2 linked regions of the Struthio camelus genome follow. The protein of the gene in region 1 purifies or fractionates together with the protein of each later gene. This does not show direct contact. Links are inferred from orthologs where the notes say so. Each region holds a gene or a part of one and is shown in the gene's direction. Other genes may lie near its edges.

Region 1 (10,655 bases):
GTCTTCCTGGTCAAGGAACTACTAGTTTTACCAGCATAGTTACGTGGGTTAAAATGTAAAAATCCCAGCCTTAACCCAGCAGCAATAATGGCACGCACGTAGAGATGATTTATTTTGCTGGTATAGTGTGTCTTTTAGGGAGATGGTCTAGCAAGTTCTTTGCCAATTTAAACTGCATTTCCAGCTGGGGAGCTGTGCCAGAATAACTGTTCCACAAACCCTTTGCTATGTACGATAGCCTTTGTCCTCTAGTCCAGTCCTCATGAATAGGTAAGCGGTGAAATAAAGGAAACTGCATGGGAGAGCAAGTGTGGCACTGTGGACCCAATTCCAAGATAAGGAAGTAGGGTAAAAGATGTGGTGAGAGCCAGCCTTTAGCAGTGCCTTCGGCAGTGTTGTTACTTAGTTGATATGTACTAAAATACCTGAATTTCAGAACTGAATTGGAGCGTGGATCCATGAAGTTGATGATGTAAGAAGCCCTCAGTGGAAGATGTTACAGATATTTGCTGTACGGCAACCACTGTTTGGCTTGCCTTTCAGTACTGGTCTCTGCTGTCTCCTGTTTTCCTCCCTGTCTAGCTAGATCCATCAGTTGTCTTATTTATACTCAGTTTATGAGTTATTCAGAGTGGATTGTTTTATTATGAGCGTATACTGTTTTCCCCCTCCCCCTTCTATTTGAGCTCTTCGGATGCTGGGTATCTAGCAGAAATCTCTAAAATCCAAAGAGCTAGAAGCTGATTTGTGCTAGATAACCCTTCTAAAACCTCTATTCTAGATGTTCACATTTGCTTTCAGCTGAATTATGCCCATCCTTTAGGAATACTAATAATGGCATGCTCTTCAGAATGTTGCGCGTCAATGAATTTTATATATACTTTATGCAAAGCATTAAAAGGTGGTTGCTTATCTGTTTTTAATTTACCATTTTTCTTTTTGCCTTCATGTTCCTGTGATGTTTTGAGATAACAGTTTGAGAATTTTTGTTCACCTTATCTCTAGGCCATGCATTTTGTAATACCTTCTCTGGACTTTTTGATTTGCTCCCTCTGAGGTGAATGGTCCCAGTCTTTTTAATTCCGCTTCAAACAAGAGCTTTTCTCAATCCCTGATGTTTTAGTCAACTATCATTGCCATGTATCACGTAATGAAATAGCAATTATAATACTAACTCAAAGAATAACCCTTACAGATTCAGTGTTCTGCCAGTACTAGGCATTTTTATGTTCCAAACTCTGAGTCCAGACACATGTATTTAAGCCTCCATGTGCTAGATACATACATACTCGATATATATTAAAAAAAAAAAAAAAAAGTCCCTATTTCAGAATAGTAGGTGCTTGGTATCCAAATGCAATTAGAAAGAAATGGAAGTGACTAGTGACCTTGTGACTGTTCTGTCGTATAACATGATAAAAAGTGCTTGGGATTTGTGGATTGAGCTTTTTCTCATTTGTCTTCCAGAGGTCAAAGTCCACTGCAAGCAGTGACTGACACAGTCCCACGCATAAGTCAATCCAGACTGCGTGTGCACTTGGGTCCTAGCAGAGCAGCCGGCAAAAGGGCAGTTATTGGAAGAGCACCTTGGAAAGTGTTTGTGCTGATTTCTCTGTGGTCCCTGTGGTGATCCTAGGAAAGTAAGGGGGGGATCTGGGACTATCTGAAATCCCAGAGCCAGGATTCTTTGAAATTCCAGACAAGTAATGATGTGAGACTTGGCAGAGGCTGACCTGCTAGCCTGCCTCCTCTGCTGTTTCATATGTATGTCCAAGAAGCTGCCTCCAGTTCACATGATTGCACTCTAGTAAACAATTTTTCATGTCGATTTAGGCAGCAGATGTTACTCGTGCTTGTATGAACACTTCAATGTGTTTAAAACAGGAGAGATTCCTCGGATCTAGTCCTATTAAACAATGACTGTAGCCATCAGAAAGAAGTCCCACTGGTTAGAGCCATCCTGTTATAGCTTCTGCAGAACACTTTGAAGGGTAGTCACACCATCCTTCTTTGGGCACTCGAGGGGATTGACTCAAAAATATGAGCAAAATAAAATAACATGGCTGAAGTGGCTGCAACCCTCAGCGGTGTCACCAGCTGTGTCACCACTGCCCAGTTCCCAGAAGGGGTTCATCCCTGTAGCATGGTTGGCTGTACAATGCAACTCCTGAGTTGCTGAGTTGCTCCTCGGTTGCTGAGTTGCTCCTCTCAGTGAGGAGAAAAAGAACAACTCTCTCAATTCAGGAAGCTTAACTAAGGGGGAAAGGTGTGCTCTCTTTAAAGCTGAAGAATGGTCTTTTAGTTTGATTTCTCAAACTGGCTCACCCGGGGTCAGAGAAGCAACAGTGCTGATGCAAGGGCAGGGCAGAGGCAAGCAGGCAGAACGGGGAGATGACCTTCCCTTTTGGGAGTAGCTAGCCGTTACGTCAGTTTTGCTGTCTCACAAAACTATGCCCTGTGGTTATTTTTGGTGCTGAGCTGCCTTACTTTTCTTGGGAGTGAATGAAGGATTAACATAGTGTATTTATGGCTTTTGAAAATTAAGTTTATTGCCGGGGGGGGGTGGGGAACCTAATTCAGCATGTGCTATTAGGTGGAATTGCTTAAGCTGTTAGTGATAGGACAGGTGTGTCCACAATATCCATTTCTGCAATTCATTTAGGGATTAAATTATTTTGTTGCCTTCTCTTAAGATCTCTAAGCTAAAGTCTACTACTACTATACACAGCAAAGTACAGAAATGGAGTTCAAGGAGAGGCTCCACCTTACCTGAACCTAATTCCAAATGACAGTATACTGAACTCAGTGAGGATATTTGTACCCCTATTCAAGCAGAAGACTGCAAGGAGTGCTGTCACCCCTGTGATCTGTCCTGACCAAACTGTTTCTTCCTCTGAAATGTCAGTCTTTCACATTTCTAACATTTTAATATCAAGTAGGTTGGTAAATTCTGGCTTCATTGTACTGAAATATATTAGACTTCAGGGGCCAGCTGCTGCAAGGTTTTTATCAGTATGATTATGAACATACCTGAAATTAAGCATCTAATTGAGTGCTTTGCTATGCTGGGCTTTCTGGAATGCAGAGCATTCGGCAAGTCCGAATACTTGCCATAAATGAAAGCATTTTGGCAAAAAGAAGAAAACTAATGCCACACATACCTTGTATAAGAGCTCTTACCAATATCTATAACTGTGGTAATTTTCATGTTTCCATATTTTGAGCCTTAAGCAGGAGACGGACACAAGAAATCTTACGAAGCCAGCATTTTTCATTTTACAGATAGATTAATTTTATAGTTTCAAAGTTTTAACGTAACCTCAAACATTTATTGGAGAATAAATTTAGGGTCGTAAAGAGGATTGCCTTCGGAAAGAAATTATTTGTTCTTAGAAAATCCCTGGAATGGCTTCCAAATTTAACTACGTTTTAACATGAATTCAAAACCCATCTCAAGTCAGGGTCAGACTCTCCAGAGAACTTTCTCATGATTCCTGTAGCAGTTGATTCACTCCTTACTGCTTTCATTTTGCAGCTTTTAATGGCAAGTTCTCCGAAAAGTCATATACTTCAAAGATTTACAAGATTCTGAGTTACTAAGCTAGAAATTATGCTGGTTCTGCCCAACTTCTGTGCCAGGATGTGGGAATACTTGGCAGTGGATTTGGAATTCCAAGAAAAATAACCTCTTTCCTTTGCATGAGGCACTGCTGACTTGCCAAACTCAAAGAGCAGCGAGGAAGAAAACCGCTGCAGATGAGGAGGCATTAAGTCTCCGGTTTCCCTTTTAAGCAGCTGTGGAGATCATAGCCCTAACAACTGCTGAACATTAATATCTTGTCTGTTTGGTGCAACATTGTGCTAATGATGGGAGAGGGCTGGATGTAACTCTTAACAAAGACAACTTGAAAGGAGAGCATGACATTTCCAAACGATGAACAAACTGCTACTGCCCTTAATAGGAAGCGTAGCCTGTAAAGACTACAGATCCCAGCATGTTTCAGAGACACCTCGAACCCAGCTGCAGCACTGCATGCTGGAACTTGTGGTGCCCTAGGCTGCATCTCCGCAGCGCCAGGGCTGTGACCCACCTCGTAGACCCGTGTGCAGTCAGCCGCCTCGCTAGCTTGGCGTGCCTGTGCTTCATTTGATGGACCACAAGCCTCAGTATTACCTTGGATTTTTTAAATCTGTTTTTGCACACTTTATACGTCTAATGTAGTACTGGCACCACCACGTTTCTAAGAAACAAAATAGTTACTTTGTCTTTCACGTAAAGAAAACCACTACTCTCTGTGTTTACATTTCTAATATGCTTGTGCATAGAGATGATTTGTTTGTAATTAAGGCTGCTTTCTTCAGTCTTTTGAAGTTTATTTCTTCAAGCCAGTTCTTACTATTAAAACTAAATTCTTCCAAGCTACCAATAAAATGTCAACTGTGATTAAAGTCTGACTCCTCATTTTAAGACTTGTCTCCTAACTAATGTGAGGTCACTTTATGAGTCAGTGTTTGAAAGGACCGTTATTCCTGAGAGTGTGGGTAAAGCCTAAACTTCACAGTTGCTTGCTTAAACTGTTTCACTACATCTTAAATCATTTTGCATTGTGTTGAAAGAAATGTGATCTGTACAGTTTGGCACAAAACTCATGATATTTCAGGCACCCCAAATTTAATGTTGGATTTGGATTTCTGGTAGGAAAAGTTTTGCCTCCTACATATTAAAATAGAGGGTGGAGTGGGGATGGGAAGCTGTGCTTGAGGCATAAACTTTCAGCTATGTTCTGTTGAAATAAAACTTGGGAAATGTAAAATCTTGGGGCAGGCACTCTGTCTTTCATACAGTGCCCAACAGAAGTCTGAGCCAAAGTCTGATAGGGCTTTCTGGACACTGAAACTTTTTTTATTTTATTTTTTTACTTTATTACAATACTTAAAAAAGGGGGAGGTGTTAAAGCTGCAAGTGCCAGCCATGAGAAGCTAGGAAATACTATTTTTAAGATTGTCTGTGCAGCCCATGTATTTCTTTTCTTCATAAGAGTTATGACAGTCTTTAATTACATGATCACATTTTCTTTTGTCATCCTCCCTCCCTGATTGCAGCAGTGCACGGTGTGAATATTTGGTGGTAATTAATCAAACTGGAGTAGTGAATAAGTCTTAGCAGAACTCTCCCTCTGACTCTAGCCTATATATGTCAGTCTCAGGTCTCCCCGTCCCTCCTTTTCCTACCCTTCTAATTAACCCGTTTCTGTTCCTCCTCGCTCTGCGTTCACATCGGACCCTTTTTTGTCTCCGTGCTGCCTGGTATCTGTGAAGAATTTTGGAGGCAAAAGGGAGGGTCTGTTTGCGCCCTACCATAGTGTTAAAGATGGAGCAGCTGGGAAGGAAAGACAGTCTTAGGGGAAAATCTTGCGAGCTGTTTCTTCCCGCAATTGGAGCGCGTTCAGAGCAGAGGCAGGAGTTCAGACGATGGAGCTGCTGAACGCTCCACTGACTGTGCTCAAATGGGAGTTATCAGATGTTTATAATGGTATAAAATCCATGAGGAATTTTAACAAATTTCCGGTCGTTTCCCCACTCCCCTCTCTTGCTTTTCAAAGTGGCTGTGATTTTTTGTTAAGCGATAATCGCGCTTCTCTCAGAAATGAGCAGAAATGTATGTGCCGGAACCCATTTTCTACTCTTTTTTCCTCACCGGATTTATACTGTACACGTGTGAGGAGGGACGTGGACCCTCAGGGGCAGGGAACCAGCTCGGTCAGGCCACACGGAGCGCTGCTGTGGCTTGGGGCTGCGTAACTGTTTGGGCGCAGGGGTCGGCGCCGGGGGCCGCGGTCCCCTCCGCTCCCTGCCACGGTGGCACTAGCCGAGCGGGGCGTCGGGCCGGCGTCTGGCTCCTCTCTCGGGCTCCGCTTAGCGGCTTGCGCTTTCATTCCGCAATCTGCTGGTGGAGCCCTAGAGCAAACCAGAACGCTCCAGCTCCTTCAAGCTTGTTCCTGTACGCGGACTCAGCTTCTTTCCGGAGGAGCTGCTGCTGCTGCTGCTGCTCCGGAGTTGTCAGTAACTGCTAGTGGAAACACAGTAATTTACAGTGTTCTTGTTCGTGTCCCGTCTGCGTGGTCCTGTTCAACGCCGCCCAGAGAAACTTCTGCCTGCTGGAGGCACCCCGGCTGCCTCCCTCGCTTCACTGCGGCCGCTTGGTCGATCCGCTCGTTGACGGTAAAAGGAGGATTTGCTTCCTCCCACCCCTTCTCCTCCTCCGCTTGGAGCCTGCAGTGAAATCATAATCTGAAGTAGTACACGACATTCATTTCCAGGATGCAAGGTCGCCCAGTCGCAGAACAGGATTACGAAACGCTGCTCCGTGGGAGGAAAGGGAAAAGCTCGTAGCCGGGCTCCGAGAGCGACGGGAACGGAAAAAGCGAGCGCCGCCCGCAGCGCTCCCGACGCCGGGGGGCCGGTTCCGCGGCGCGGCCGGCGCTTCCCTTTCCGCCCGGGGGGCGGGCGGGCCCCGGCGGCGGCGGCGGGGCGGGGCGGGGCGGGGGGCGGGCGGCCGCGGCGGCGGCGGCTCGCTGATTGCAGGGCGGGCGCTGCCAGTCCGCCGCCGCCGCCTCCCCCGCGCCAGCCGCGTCCCAGCGCCGGAGCCGCACGGCCCAGCAGCGAGCGACCAGCCCGGCCCGGCTCGGCTCGGCCCTCTCCGGCCCCGCCAGCCACCCCCCAATGGAGGAACAGCCTCACCATCACCACCACCACCACCACCACCACTACTACTACTACAGCCACCACCACCACCCGCAGAGCGCCTACCTGCCGCCGCCCGACGGCCGAGCCCAGCCCAAGCCGCCGCTCCGGCACGACCACAAGCACGGCGGCCCGCAGCACCAGGAGGCGCCGAAGCGCAGAGCAGGTCCGGGCGGGGGGCGGGCGGCCGGGCGCCCGTGACCTTCGCGCGGCGGCGGTTCCCCTCCTCCTCCTCCTCCTCCTCCTCCTCGCCGCCGCCTCCCGCGGCCCGGCTGGAAGCTTCTCCGCCGCGCTGGGGCCGCTTCCTGTCCGCCATGTTGGAGCCGGCGCGGCCGAGGCCGCCGCGGGCCCCGCCGCCGCCCGCCGGGCACGTGGGGCCGCGCCCGGGCCCCGCCGGCCGCTGCCCCCGGCCCTGCCGCGGGGGGGGGGGGGGGGGGGACCGGGACGGGGGGGGGGCGCTGGTTAAAAATTGATGAGCGTAAAAATCAATGAGTCAGATAAGGCGGCGGCGGCGCTGCTCGGGCCCGCTGCGGAGCCGGCGGCCGCGGGGGCCTCGCCCGGCCGCTTGGCCCCTCCTGGCATGTTCCCGGCTGCCCGGCGGGCGAAAGCGGAGAAATCCAGAAGTTGCCTCGATCCTCTTTTTTTTTTTTTTTTTTGTTGTTTGTTGTTAAGGTGGGGGGGGTCGGCGGAAGGAGGGGGCCGAGGCCCGGCGGCCGTTGCCTGCGGGGCATAGCCCCGGTTTGGGCAGGTCGGAGGGGAGGACCGGCGCCCTGACTTCACGGCCCCGGCCTGCAGGCAAGGACCGTTTTTGGTCTTTGAACGTTTTGCGGGCTCAAAGCAAATATGAGACTAAAAGAGTAGTCAGAAGGCCATGCACTTTCTTGCCCCCACCCCCCCACCCCACCCTTGAAATCTTCGTTTGCATAATCAGCCGGGAGGTGGGAAGGGACCTGGCTCCTATCAGAAATAGGTTTCATAGTGCCCTGAAACCGCAGTCTGGCCAGGCGCGTAAAGCCATCTGGAGCGGGAGTAGGGAGGGGATTGACCAGGCAGCCGCTCAAATAAGTTATTGGGCAAAAATAACTTGAGTAGTCGCTTCACTGTTTGCAGCGTGCCCGTGGTTTTCATGCTTAAGACTGATGCCCCTTTTCTTTCCAGCTATGAAATGATTTGTGAGGTTGCCAAATACCCCTCACGTGTTCTTTTGGACATCCTTCTCCCCCCCCCAAAAAATATTGGTTGTTGCACCTCTATTTCCGGGCCAGGACCAGCTATGCCAAATGTTGATTTGGAGAAAACTCGGGCAGCCGAGTTGTGAATACTTGAAAATTGGAACTTGAAACTGCTGACACTGACTTACTGAAGTGTTCTTCATTTTAGTCTTTCGCTCCTCATCTGCAGTGGTCTTATGACCGTTCTTACTGTTTTGTGTCGTTGACTAGTGATGTCAGAAGTCCTGAGTCTTACAAGGTCATCTATTACATGTTATTCTTGAGAAGACTTCCTCTGCATGTTACTCCGAAATAATTTTTAGTCCTTGAGTCATCAGAGAGTCCCATCCCATTCGTATCTCTGTGACGAAGTATTTATGGGTAATGTTATTAACAGCTTATTTGGAAGTTATGGTCATTACAGATACTTACATATAGTAAAATCCTTTTTGATCCCTCTCAGCAAACTCCATTGTGGAATTTCTATAAGGATTCCTTGAGCAGTTACATCTGCCAGACATCTGAGACTCCAGGATGTGTGGATAACAATGAATTTTAGTATAGCAGTTGAGTTAAACGACATCAGCAACAACAAAACATTCTTTCTGAAGCTGGAATTTTGCCCGCTCCTGGGTTTGGGGGTTTCTTTGTGCGCTGTGCTGATTTGACACCACTGTAACTGCAAATTAAGCCTTAGGTGGGTCATTTGTTGCAGAAGATGTGAGGCTTTCCACCTTTGCAAAGGAGGACAGAGATGAGTCAGAGGAGAAGCAAGGATCTCTCTCCTTTCCTGTACAAGCCGGTGCAATAGGAGGGAGTCCCCCTTCTCAGCCCATCAGCTGGGAGTGTATTTGCTTAGCTGGGTACAGCACGCTCTTCCTTCTTCTCAGTGGGACTCTGGCTGGAGATAGCCTTGAGAAGGATGAGGTGGTTCAGCCTGGACTGTCCTGGGCTTTCTGCTTCACTTGAGTTCCAGTCTTGAGGTTCTCGTCAGAACCACAAAGACTAGAAACGCACCTGAGAAACAAAAAGGAAAGCTGAGTTTACAGCATGATCTTGTATTTTGAGTTGGGGCCTTCAGCAAATGCCTCACCGCCTGGTTCTCAGTCTCTTGCTGCGTCTCCCCAGGACGCGGTGGAATAGTGAAGTTTCTCAGCAGGCAGGTGGCTAGTTGCCAGTGGTGGTGGAAGGATGCTTGCAGAGGTGCGTTTCTTCCCAGCTTTATCACCTTTTCAAAGCTAAAGAGCACGTGTAGAGAAGTGTTGGTTGCTATTTTGAAATGAAGTGAGGAAATGCTGTCACCCCTCCCCCCCCTCCATTTCCACCTGAACTTGCACATATCCTTTTGGAAAGCTTTTTTACTGGAGATGTTGCTTAGGAGGGAGATGGGAAGGGGGACTGCTGGTGTTGCAGGTCTGTGAGGTGACAGAGATGTTAGAAGTTGGCCCTTGTTCACAATATAGATGCTGAATCTCAGTGAATCATGTAGCAAAGGCAGCAGATCCCTCTGTCCTGTAGCATCTTGGGAATTAATATTTTCCTCTTGTGTGACCTGGAAACACTAGCTGGCTCTCTGACTTGCAAATGGTCTTTAGCACGATATATATATATTTCTGTCCTCTCATATCCTTTTGCTTTGTTTTGTTGTTATCAAATGCGTTAATCAACATGCTGCTGTTATGTCACCCTGTCGTATGAGAAGAGTCAACAGCCGCTGGTGTTTTTCTGCTTAACTCTTCTTACTGTGACTTTCAGTGAGTAAGGATGTGCTTTTATATGTCAGAGGCTAGATGTTTTCCTGTTTTAAAATGTCTGAGGAAACTGGATATGTTTAAGGGTTGATTACAGCTTTTTGCGATCAGAAGTTTAACATTTTAGATTCTAATTCTTGCCTTTTGTTGTTTTTGGCTTTCTTCTAGGCTACGGGGAGCTAAATGGTAATGCAGGAGAAAGAGAAGTATCATTAAAGGGCCTGTGCTCTGATGAAACAACCAACCCAGGATCCAGGGTACCAAATGGCAGCCAGCAACTTGTAGACACTAATGTGACCCCAAAGCAGACTGTTAAGGCCGGTGCTTTGGGGAAAGCCGGAATCAAAACCAAGAACTTCGTTCAGAAAAATAGCATGGACAAAAAGAATGAGAAATCCTACGAAAATAAGCTTAGAGAAAGTCAATCCTCTGACAAGCCGGAGGGAGTATCTATTCCAAATGGCGTGGTAACCAATAATTCTAGTTATATCACTAATGGCTACGTAGGCAAAGGGGCAGATAATGATGGTAGTGGCTCCGAGAGTGGATATACTACGCCTAAAAAACGGAAAGGCAGGCGCAACAGTGCTAAGGGTTGTGAGAACTTGAATCTAGTACAGGACAAAATAATGCAACAGGAGGTTAATACCCCAACCTTAAAACAGGAACTTGAGGGTTTCAAGCCTGATTATAGTGAACAAAAGGGGACCCGAATTGAAAATACTAAGCCTGTTTGGAAATACGAGGCTGGGGCTGGTGGAGCAGGCCGGGGAAAGCCTGGGCTTGGGGATGTACAGCGAAAAAATTCTGATGCCAAACCTGGAATTAGCAGCAAGAAGTTTGATGACCGGCCCAAAGGGAAGCATGCGTCATCAGCTACATCTAAAGAGGATTCATGGACCTTATTTAAACCACCCCCAGTTTTTCCAGTGGACAATAGCAGTGCTAA
Region 2 (10,022 bases), on another chromosome or scaffold:
TGCAGAAGCAGTTAAGAGGATTAGATATTTTTGATCATATTTGCAGCTGCACTAGCTGAAACTGAGAGCAGAACCCTGAATGCTTCATTCTGGGAAACAGCTCTGTAGGCCTGGAAGGGAATCCCCCTCGGGATCGCTCATCTTGGTATGCTCTAGGACCCCACTGTTTTACGGAGCTACAAGTATTTGTGGCTCCTACAGGCCATAGCTGAAAGAGTGGTGCTCAGCTCCCTTGCAAAGCCAGGCTCTTGTGCTCCTGTGGAAAAGTCAGCGCGAGCCAGCCCGGATGCAGGGCTCTGAGCTGCAGTAATGTCTCCAAAATGTCAACTCCCACACAGAAGGCCTATGTCTCCCAACTGTCATAGCACAAACGACAAACACGATAGAAACCTTGCCAGGTTTAAAACCAGAGATGAGGAGGGAGATCCCTCTCTGGACATCAGTTAGAGGATTTCTTTAACAGTTCTATTGCCATTATCCGAGTTGCCTTAGCACTGCAGAGCTTTAGCAATGAAATCTAATTTCACTGCACTCCCGCTCATAGTTAAGTTTCAGTGTCTAGTTCTCATGCATTAGCACTGTGTTACCATCCAAATAAAAATACCTGACAATTCCCTCTGAAGCTCAGTCTTGCAGAGAGGCTAGTGATGTGCTGCCAGCACGTTAGCAGGAAGCTCCCTGCTTTTCCTTAGGGACACCTCTGACGAGCCTTTGGCCCCAGATGCAGAAGGGATGGGCTGAGGAGGAGTATGGAAGCCATTAAGCTCTTTTCCAATCTTACACAAAAATGTGGTCTTGTAACCAAGGAAGAAGACATCACTATTTAACACATAGGCACATTTGCTGGAAACGCTTAGCCCTGCTCCCGGAGGCGGCCTGAAGTCTATTACTAGCAGAATATACCGCACGGATGGGGGCGGGGGCTCCTGCGTGGGGAAGTGGAAGCCCTTTCCCTGCGGATGGAGCTCCTGCTGGTGCTCCTGATTAATGCAGGCAGGTTTGCTCGGAAGCCAAGCTGGCTCTCCAAAATCGATGATCTGAGCCTCAGGTATAACATGTCTGAGGAGGGAAAAATCTGTGTGTCTCACTTCCAATTTGTCTGATGATTTTAGCAAGGAGCTTTTGAGAACAGGAGAGAGAATGCCAGAGGTAACAAATTCAGCCCTTTCCAAATACTACCACATGCCAGTCATCTGCCAGAAATGTAAAACAAGACTGTGATCCTAAATTTGTCTTTCAAATGTACCTGTGCCCGTTCTGTAGTATTTTCCCCCTAATCACTAGGGATTAATACCGGAGTGCACTGAAACATCTGAGGTGATGGGGCACAGCGGAAATTCCTCGGGGGCTGGTAATAGTAACTGAAAGCTGTTCTGTGAAGCAAACCTGATGCTGACTTGGTTTTTAATGGACATCTGTCTGTAGGGACAAAATGCCATGGCAACTGGCTTTCTTGTTGGCATGCCAATCTCAGCAAAGGGATAGGGAGAGGATGAGCACTGAAGGGTCCGTGTGATAGTACTTGGGAAATGCAGAGGTACCGCTTGACAAGGCTGTGAGGTAAAGGTTGTTTATGCTCTCTGAGCACCAGCTCTTGAGGGATTTAAGAGCTAAATCTTGGCATAATGATTGCTTTGTCTGCTGCTGCTTAGCAGGAGTTAGTCTTGGTCCCCCCCTCCCCTTCATAAAAATGCTAAATCTAAAAGCAGAAAATGCTAGGCTGAAGATCACCTGGCAGTTTGCTTGGCAGAGGCAGGGGCAGAGTCACTGTCTTCCGATGTGCAGCTATGTCCCAAAACACTTGCCACAGAGCTAGCGTGCTGTTGTGTGGATCCCGGAGCGTCACCTCCTAAGGAAGGAAATGTTCTCTTTTGGTGTCTGAGGCCCATGGAAAGTGAGAGGAAGGTTCACTAAAATGTTGCTTATAAGTAAAACAAGCTCTGGCACCTCTGTACCCCCTCTCTCAAGCTCTGCAGACATCGCCATTTTCCTTAATCTCCCACTGGTGGCAGTAAAAGCGGTTGGCATATGCATGTTTCGGCAGGCCTGTCTGTCATCTGCACCCTATCTGAACTGGGTTTGAGGAGGAGTTAGTGAGTTGAAAGCTACTGTCTGGCCCACGTTAGCAATGCTACTATGTGCTGCAAGAAGTGCAATGGCATGGGTAGTACTGGGAGGAAATAGTTTTAACAGTGCAAGGGTGGGTCAAGAGGTATGTTCGATGGGAGCAGCTCTCCACCTGGAATCCAGCTGTGAATTCAGGCACTGCAGGCAATGAAAAGACACTATATAGAAGTTGGGGCGGGGAGGAAAGTCAGAAAAGAGTCAGCAATAGGCAGTAGTTGTCTCATTTGGTAGGCTTCTGAACTTGCGCTTTGGTTCTGCTCATTGTTGTGCAGATACCTCTTTCTGGTTTGGCAAGTATTGAATTAATCAGTTCAAACTGATTGCAGCTTTGCTGACTAGCTAATATCATATCTCTCTGGGAAGTGCTTCTCTTCTTAGAGGACCTGATTTGTTTTCCTAATGTCTTTCCAAGTGTTTGGAGATTCCTGTGCCTGTAGCATCGTCAGCAACACTTTAGCCTCTAAGAGTAGGATTAGGGATAATGGAAGTAAATAATAGAAGTCTTCAGGAGAAAAAGAAAAAAGTGTAGAAGTACCCAGTTCTGTGAGCTTCTCTGACAGTTGATTTTGCTTAAAATAAATGTCAAGTGCTAGTGTTAATTGTCCCCCCATAGGCTGGCATGTTTCATCTTGTTGAATACTGTTGAGGATCACCCTGGCTGGCTCAAGGAAGAGAGCACAATACCTAAAAGCAGGTTATGTCAAGGAAATATTACCTCATGTAGCAGTTCTGGGTAAGTCATGGTATTATCAGAATCATTAATCTTCATATGCAAATACAGCTTGCACATGTAGTCACAAATCTAAATGAAAACAGTAGTCTTCAGAAAGACCTGGAATAAGAATGGAAACAGCAAAATATAATGTGATTCTTGAATAAATAGTTGCTTTTCTTTCTTGACCAGGGAACGTACAAATTTGAATTCTGAACTTTTCTACAGCTAGACCATTGGAGCCACAGACTGTTGTCTGTCCTTTGCCACAAATCATTTCCAGCTAAACTAGCAGATATAATGGTAGGCAGTAGCAACAAATAAATAAATTCAAATCATAAAAAGATAAATATGGAGTGCCGGAAATTGCAGGACCTTCAAGAACTGTATGCAGGGAGAGGAAGTAGACATCACAGGTAAAGGGAAATAGATGCCATAATGCCAGTATAACTCCCTTTCACTGGAAGCATGAGTAGTCTGTTGCAGAAGTGAACACACAAGAGGAAGGTGAGAAGCAGTATTTGTACAGGCAGTCACAAAAGGCTGCCACTGGATTCAGAGACCTAACTGCAGATCCTCTAATGGACGTTAGTATCTGAGCTATTTTAATGTGGTCATTTCTATATTTATTTTCAAAGTGTTTGTATGAAGATGCTAGACAAACAAAGCAGGGAAAAACACAACAAAAGCCAAACAGAGCTTAACAAAACAAAGAATACATTACAGGAGAAAACAAGTCAAACTGCAACTGCACTTGAGTCATTACTGCAGATATGAACACGAGAGTCTTATTCATACAACTGCTTTCCAAGTATGTAATGTTACCCCAACATACAATTTAATACAGTCATGTCAGCTCTTAGAAACTATCTCTGCCAATTGAACCTATTTTAGTTCTTCTGACATCCTTGAATATCAGGGGCTTCATCTTAGCCAGTGGGATCCCACAGCATGGTTGCCACTTCAAAATGCTGCAGTCTCTTTAAAAGTTCTTAACCTTTAGTCACATAAATAGTGACTAATTGCTGTGCACTCTAAATACTCTTAGCTGAAAAAATATTGAAAGTAACTTCCTTTACATCTAAAAAAAACTATTAAGTGATCTGGATATGTTATGCTCAGTTGTCTCTTACCAGACCTTCTTGTGCTTTTTTTTTTTTTTTTTGGTAACTTTCCCTTAAAATTCAAAGCACACTGATAAAACACATCCTTGACGAAGTAATCCTTTTTAGCTGTAGCTTACTTCAAGATCCAAAACATGCCTTGAAACTAAAGCAAGTTCCTTACCTGCTACGTTTCTTGTATTGTGGTGGTGTGCTGAGGCCCTCGGTTTGGGTTCCAGTGGCACCAAGCAAAAGACGTACAAGACTTTACAAACAGTACCCTGAAGCGCTGGGTGAAAACTTTCTGTATGCTAGCGCACAGAGAGATAGAGACGCAGATATATAACGTATGTGAACAATACATGTATATTCAACTTTACAAAAAGAGGCTTGTTTTCTCGTAGCTTCTCTGAGGTAACCTTAGCTATCTAGTAAGGGCGGTGAGACCGATTTCTGCTTTTACAGTAAATGGTCCTAAAGCCTGTGGTAGCCTTAGCTGCCCTCACACTTTAATACGTCCTACAGAAAATCTCGGACTGCTGAAACTCTTGATATCCTTGGGGGGTCTCAGTTCTGTGGCTGTGAGACAGCAAAGAGACAAGTCGGTTTGATAAAGCGACTGGAAAACCTAGTTTCCATAAACTGCTGGCTCTGTTCGGGGAAGCATTTCCAACTGAATAATTCTTTCTTCTGAGCCCATTTCAGCTGGTATCTGTCGTCTAGTTAATAAAGTGTTAACCACAGGTTATTTGGGTAAAACAAAACAAGTAGTTTAACAGTGAAAAGTGTAGGGGAAATGCTAATTTGAGAAAGCTGTTAAATATTGTTATCTTTTTACTATTGTGTGTTGCCACCCACAACTCTTCCAACCGCATGGGAAAACTATTGCTTTACAAGCAAGGTGTATAAATAATGCCTGCCTAACAGCATCGTTCCTTTTTATTATACCTGAATCCTGCGGGAATTCTGGAGCCTTTCTATGAATAGATTAAACTCGAAGCATTTTGAGTAACCATGGCTATAAATCAATTTAGCTCATGTTTGTGAAACTACATCTGCTCTTGCTAACCCTGCATGTACATAGATTTTTAGCAGGACAGACCACACTTTGTGTTTACGTACTGGCATGGACTGGGTTCGCTCCAGAGCCCGTGAAGGCTGCTTTTTCAGCAACGCAGGGACAATTAATGAACCAGAGCTGCCCAGTGCCTGCATTTTGAGTTTTATGCATGAAATTTGGTGGTGTGTGGTAGGTAGAGTGAGCCTGCATTTTGTGATCATATACTTTTTTTTTCTTTTTTTGGTCAGTTAGGGTTTGACTAGAGCAATGAAAAAAAAAAATCCCAGAAATCTCTAATACCGGAGGGGCTGCCGGTGCAGATTGCGATAATCCCCCCCCTTCCCCCGGCTCCATCTCTGGCGCGTTTCACTCGGTGACTGCGTACAATGGCTGTGGGACGTGATCGTTTACCGGTGAGGGAATTTAATGCCTTTGTGCTCAAAGGTGAGAAAAATCGGTTAACAACTTCGGTCGCCAGCGCAGGGCGCTGAGGTAACTCCCGGCCGCTGGCGCAGCTCGGCCATCTTCCCGAGGCGGTCGCCTCTCCGCCCCCGCCCCCGTCGCCGTCCCGCCGGGCGACTCCCGCCGCCTCTCGCCGGCAGCCGTTGGCGGCAGCGGCGGGCAGGGCCCGGGGGCGCCGAGCCGGTTTCCTCAGCGCTTCCCGCCACCGCCGCGCTGAGGGGAGCGGAGCGGGGGGGGGGGGGGCGCGCTGCGCTGAGGCCGGGGGGGGGGGGGGCTGCGGCGCGCGGAGGGCAGCAGCCGCCGGCCCCGCGCCGCCGCCTCACGTGTCGCGGCCGCGCTCCCCCTCCCTCCCCGCCCCTTCACCCGGCCGCATTACCGCCGCGGCCCCTTCCGACTTCCCGTAAAGAGTCCGCGCCTGCCGCCGCGCCGCTCGCCCGCCCCGCCGCCGCCCGGTGCCGCGGAGGAAAGCAGCGGGGAGGCCGCTGAGAGGCGCCTCCGCCGACTGATCGACCGGCCGCCCGCTCGCCGCCGCCTCCCACCTCACCCGCCTCGCTCTCCCCCCGCCCCCCCCCGCGTCAGCCGGCCTCCCTCCCCCCGGATCCCTCCGCGCCGCGCTCCGCTCCCTCCGCCCCGCTCACACTGTTTGGGAGCAACCGGCCGAGACAGCGGCTGCCCCCGGCCCCAGCGAGCGCAGCGAGGCCCCGGCGCGGACCCGGCCTCTCGCCCCAGTCCCCCCGGCCCCTCTCCCCCTCGCCATGTCCCTCAAGCAGCAGGCGGCGGCGGCGGCGCAGGCCGCCGGCAACAACCGCAAGCCCCCCGGCGGCGGTGGTGGCGGCGGCGGCGGCGGCGGCGGTAGCAGCGGCGGCGGCCCCGGCCTCCCGTCAGCCGCGGGCGGCGGGAGGCAGAACATGGGCAGGTGGGTGCGCGGCGGCGGGGCCGTCCCCGCCGCGCCGGCTGAGGGCACGGCGCGGCCGCTGCCGCCATCCCCTCCCCCCCCCTCCCCCTGCACCGGCCTCCATGGGCGGCGGCGGTGCGGCCGGGAGGGGGGAGCGGGGCCTGCTGCATGGCGGGGCGGGTTGGGGGGGGGGGGAGCGGACGCGGCCTGGCCCGGCGCAGCGCGGCGGGGGGCTCCGCCCGGCGGGGGGGGGGGTGAGGGGGGGGGTGGGCGGCATGGCGGCGGGCGGAGGCGCCGCGCCGGTTCCGCAGTGCCGCCGGGGCGAGGCCGGGCCGCCGCTCAGCAAGGCCGCGGCTGCGGTGCCCTTCAGGGGGACGGCGGGCAGGGCGGGCCGCGCCGCACCGCACCGCGCCGCCGCGCGGGGACCATTTTCTCGCCGAGCGCGGCGCCGGTGGTGCGCAGCGGCGGGCCAAGCCCCCGTGGCGGCGGCGGCGGCGGCGAGGCCTGCGGCGGGGCCCGGCGGGGGGCGGCCGCGGCCGCACGTGCTCTCGGGGCGAAGCCTTCTGGGCCGCGGGCGGGAAGGTGGCCGGGGAGGGGGTCGCCCCTACTGGATGCTGTTAACCCCTGGGGAGGGGGGGGGTGTCTTAAGCGGGGGCAGCACGTCTGCATTTTAAAACTGTGCGAACATCTGCCTTTCGCAGAGCGCCTTTTGCCGACGGGATTTTTTATTTATTTTATTTTATTTATTTTTTAATCTCGATAAAATATCGTGCGGAGCCCCAGCAGAGCAGTTGGAGCGCTGCTTAGCGTTATGGATGGATCTGATTTAAGTGATATATGCTGGATGTGTCATCCAAACATGAGTTCATTTTTTTCCACAAATTTAGGGGGGTAAGGAATCAGGGTTTCGCAGCAGGCTTAGATTCCTCTTCTCTTATCTCCCCCTTCCTATGCACACTCCTGAGGCCCTACTATCTTCTGCTGCCTCTGGAAGATTGATGCTGCTTATGTTCCATATCCAAGAGCATGGGCTATAGAAATTCACGTATGTTTGAGGGAGGAAAGAGGGGAGGGAAGAAAACAGACCTTCTGGTGTTCTGAGTGTTTCTAATGCTCTGGGGGGTCATACAAGCAAAGCAGGATGGTAACAGTGTTGAAGGTCATAGTCTCTCAGAGCAGTTTCATTTTAAGTTTTAGTCATTATTTTTTTGCTCTCTAGCTTGACTTTTATGTTCCTAGTCAGTTTTGTGCATTGGCAGTAAAAAAGAATTTATTTACCTTGGTCCCATTGTTGGACATCACTAAAAACAGGGTTTTACTTTGTCACCAGTCTGTGGAACTGGAAGTGGAAAAGCTTTAGTAGGGCTGAAAAAGAACAAAATAAACGGGGAAAAAATACTGAGACCTCCAGCACTTCATTGAAATGATTTAACAGTTTTTATACATGGGTGTCTAGATTGAACACTTCATATTTACTGTTCTTTGCTAAACAGTTATCCTTGCCAACACACAGCGGCACTGTGGAGGTTAACATGAAGGGCAACAAAGTCTACAGCTTTGTCTGAAATTTCAGTTTAGTTGGTGAACGTTGTCTTTATAGATTAAGGAACGCAAGCTTCAATTTCTTTGTTAAGTTAAAATTAAAGCTATTAGGTAACCCTTGGAGGAGAAACCTTTTTATTTTTTCTTGGCAGATTCTGTTTCAAAACTTTTTAGGAACTGACGTGTTCTGTCAGAGATGGTTGCACCTTGTTCTTTGTTAGTCAGTTCTTCAAGTAATTTCTGAAAAAGGATCTGTAAAATCTTAGTCTTAGAACTGATAGAGCCTTGTGAAACACCTTCAGAGAACTCTTCCTGTCACTATCCTAAAGAAAAGTCTTGATCTTTTTGTGGAATACAAATTTAAAGATGGTTCATACAGCAAATTTGTTCGTACATGGCTCAGGTGAAAAGCTAAATGAAAAATCAATTTTATTTTAGGTGATCTGCATCTTGGTTTCAATTTTAAGTGTATTTTGTTTAATGGAAACTTAAACAAGCATCTCCAGTTTATGCCAAGCGTTTTTTCTTAGTAGTTCTGCAACTTACTGCTCTGCAACGCTAGCATTCTTTTTCTTATTTTCTGGAGATGCAAAAGAATGTTTCTTTTCTTGGCTAAGCGGCTCTTAAAAGTTTAAATTTGGGTAGAAATTTCATTGGCAGTAAACTGTCCAAGATAGTTTATGATATATGCTTATTACTGTAAGACTTAATTGAGCCAAGCACCTGGTTCTTCTACATCTGGTGATGAGTTGGAAGGTCAGCTTTGCTTATTCACTATGCTGGTTTCCATCATCTTGTCATGATTAATATATGTTTTTCATATTAAAAAAGGGAAGATCTTGTGTGGGTGAACAGGCAATCCTAGTATTCATGCTTTCATTATATTATCCTTCCTTTTGTATTAGGGGAAAAAAGTCACAAAATAACTTTGAAGGTGTTAAAAACAAGAAATATGTAATAATTCTTTTGTAAATAGGCACTCAGTGAAATGCTGTGTTTACTTAGTAGTAGCTGCATGTGGAATATGGCAGATGGAAAATCAGGTTGTAGTGGGGATGCCAATAGCATGTTAAACTGTAATTGGAGAAAATGCAAACCTCATAATATGAACCTGCTCCACTGTGCTGGTCAAAACATTATCTAATATCTACTTTTAGTGTTTAGTTCATTCTAGCCTTATCTAGCCTTATACAAGCATAGAAAGGTTAGCTGTTCTGTGATTAAAAATTGCATCTGTCTTAGTATTCCTTCAAGCAGTGCATCCTTTTCTATTTCCATTATTTTCCCATTGGTATTTTGTCTGAAGGCAAAACATCTCAGGCCAAGGTTTTGGATGGTTACGTGTGTAGTTACAATTGTGGCAAAAGGTCTTTTCCCCTTGCTTTTGTAACTTCCTTGCCTAGTTGGACCTGAGAGTCCTTTAAGAATACTGTAAATTACTCTTACAAATTGCTCTACCTATTGACATGTTAAAACTGAAATTATCCCATGTTGTGTAGCTTGCTTTTGAGATTTAATGCTTAATACCTGCTCCTATTTTCTTTGTCCTTGACAACCTTTTTTATTAGACTAACTAAAACCTTTTAAGTAAAGGGCGGAAGAGAGGTGTCTGTTCTGTTCAGGTAGAAATAATTGGGAATATCAAGTATCAAGGCTTGCTGAAATAACGAAAGTGGCTATTCTGGAGATTTGGTCACCTGTCATTCAAAGTTAATTTCTAGTTCATTCCAACATCTTTGTGTGTGTTGTTTTTTAGAATTACTGCAGTGATTAACTCTAAGATAATCTCTTGGACAGCAATTTCTGGAAATAGAAATTATTCCCTTGATGTGTCTTGTATTAGATACGTACCTCTGACTTGCGTAGTATGTACTTCTAAAAAGGAACCTTGTTGGCAACCTCTTCATTTACAAAACTATCTGTCATCTTTAAAGTTTCTGACTAGAGTTAATTTCAGTTAATTTTAGATTCTTTCTCAAGGTGTGTTGCTGAATTCAATGAAGTGCTTCTGTCTTGCTATTTCAGATTCCGAAAGGAAGCTGACTTTTTTTTTTTATTTACTTATTTTTCTCTCAGTGCTGCATTAGGTTTAGCTTGTTAACATCATGAAATCACAAAATT

Evidence for each region. Proteins that work in one complex are often made in the same cells at the same time.
Region 2: the proteins of NUFIP2 (region 1) and ATXN2 purify together in Homo sapiens (affinity purification with mass spectrometry; 3 studies listed by BioGRID and IntAct, counting the BioPlex papers as one, with this or other methods). This does not show direct contact. The link is inferred for Struthio camelus from reciprocal best matches to the Homo sapiens genes NUFIP2 and ATXN2.

Annotation. Positions count from the first base shown.
Region 1 is NC_090957.1:16,875,714-16,886,368, reverse strand, and holds the start of NUFIP2 (FMR1-interacting protein NUFIP2), read left to right. Parts: upstream 1-6,551; 5' UTR 6,552-6,723; coding exon 6,724-6,910; intron 6,911-9,874; coding exon 9,875-10,655. UniProt on the Homo sapiens protein: Binds RNA.
Region 2 is NC_090958.1:18,289,181-18,299,202, reverse strand, and holds the start of ATXN2 (ataxin-2), read left to right. Parts: upstream 1-6,105; 5' UTR 6,106-6,219; coding exon 6,220-6,380; intron 6,381-7,388; exon of another isoform or gene 7,389-7,404; intron 7,405-10,022. UniProt on the Homo sapiens protein: Involved in EGFR trafficking, acting as negative regulator of endocytic EGFR internalization at the plasma membrane.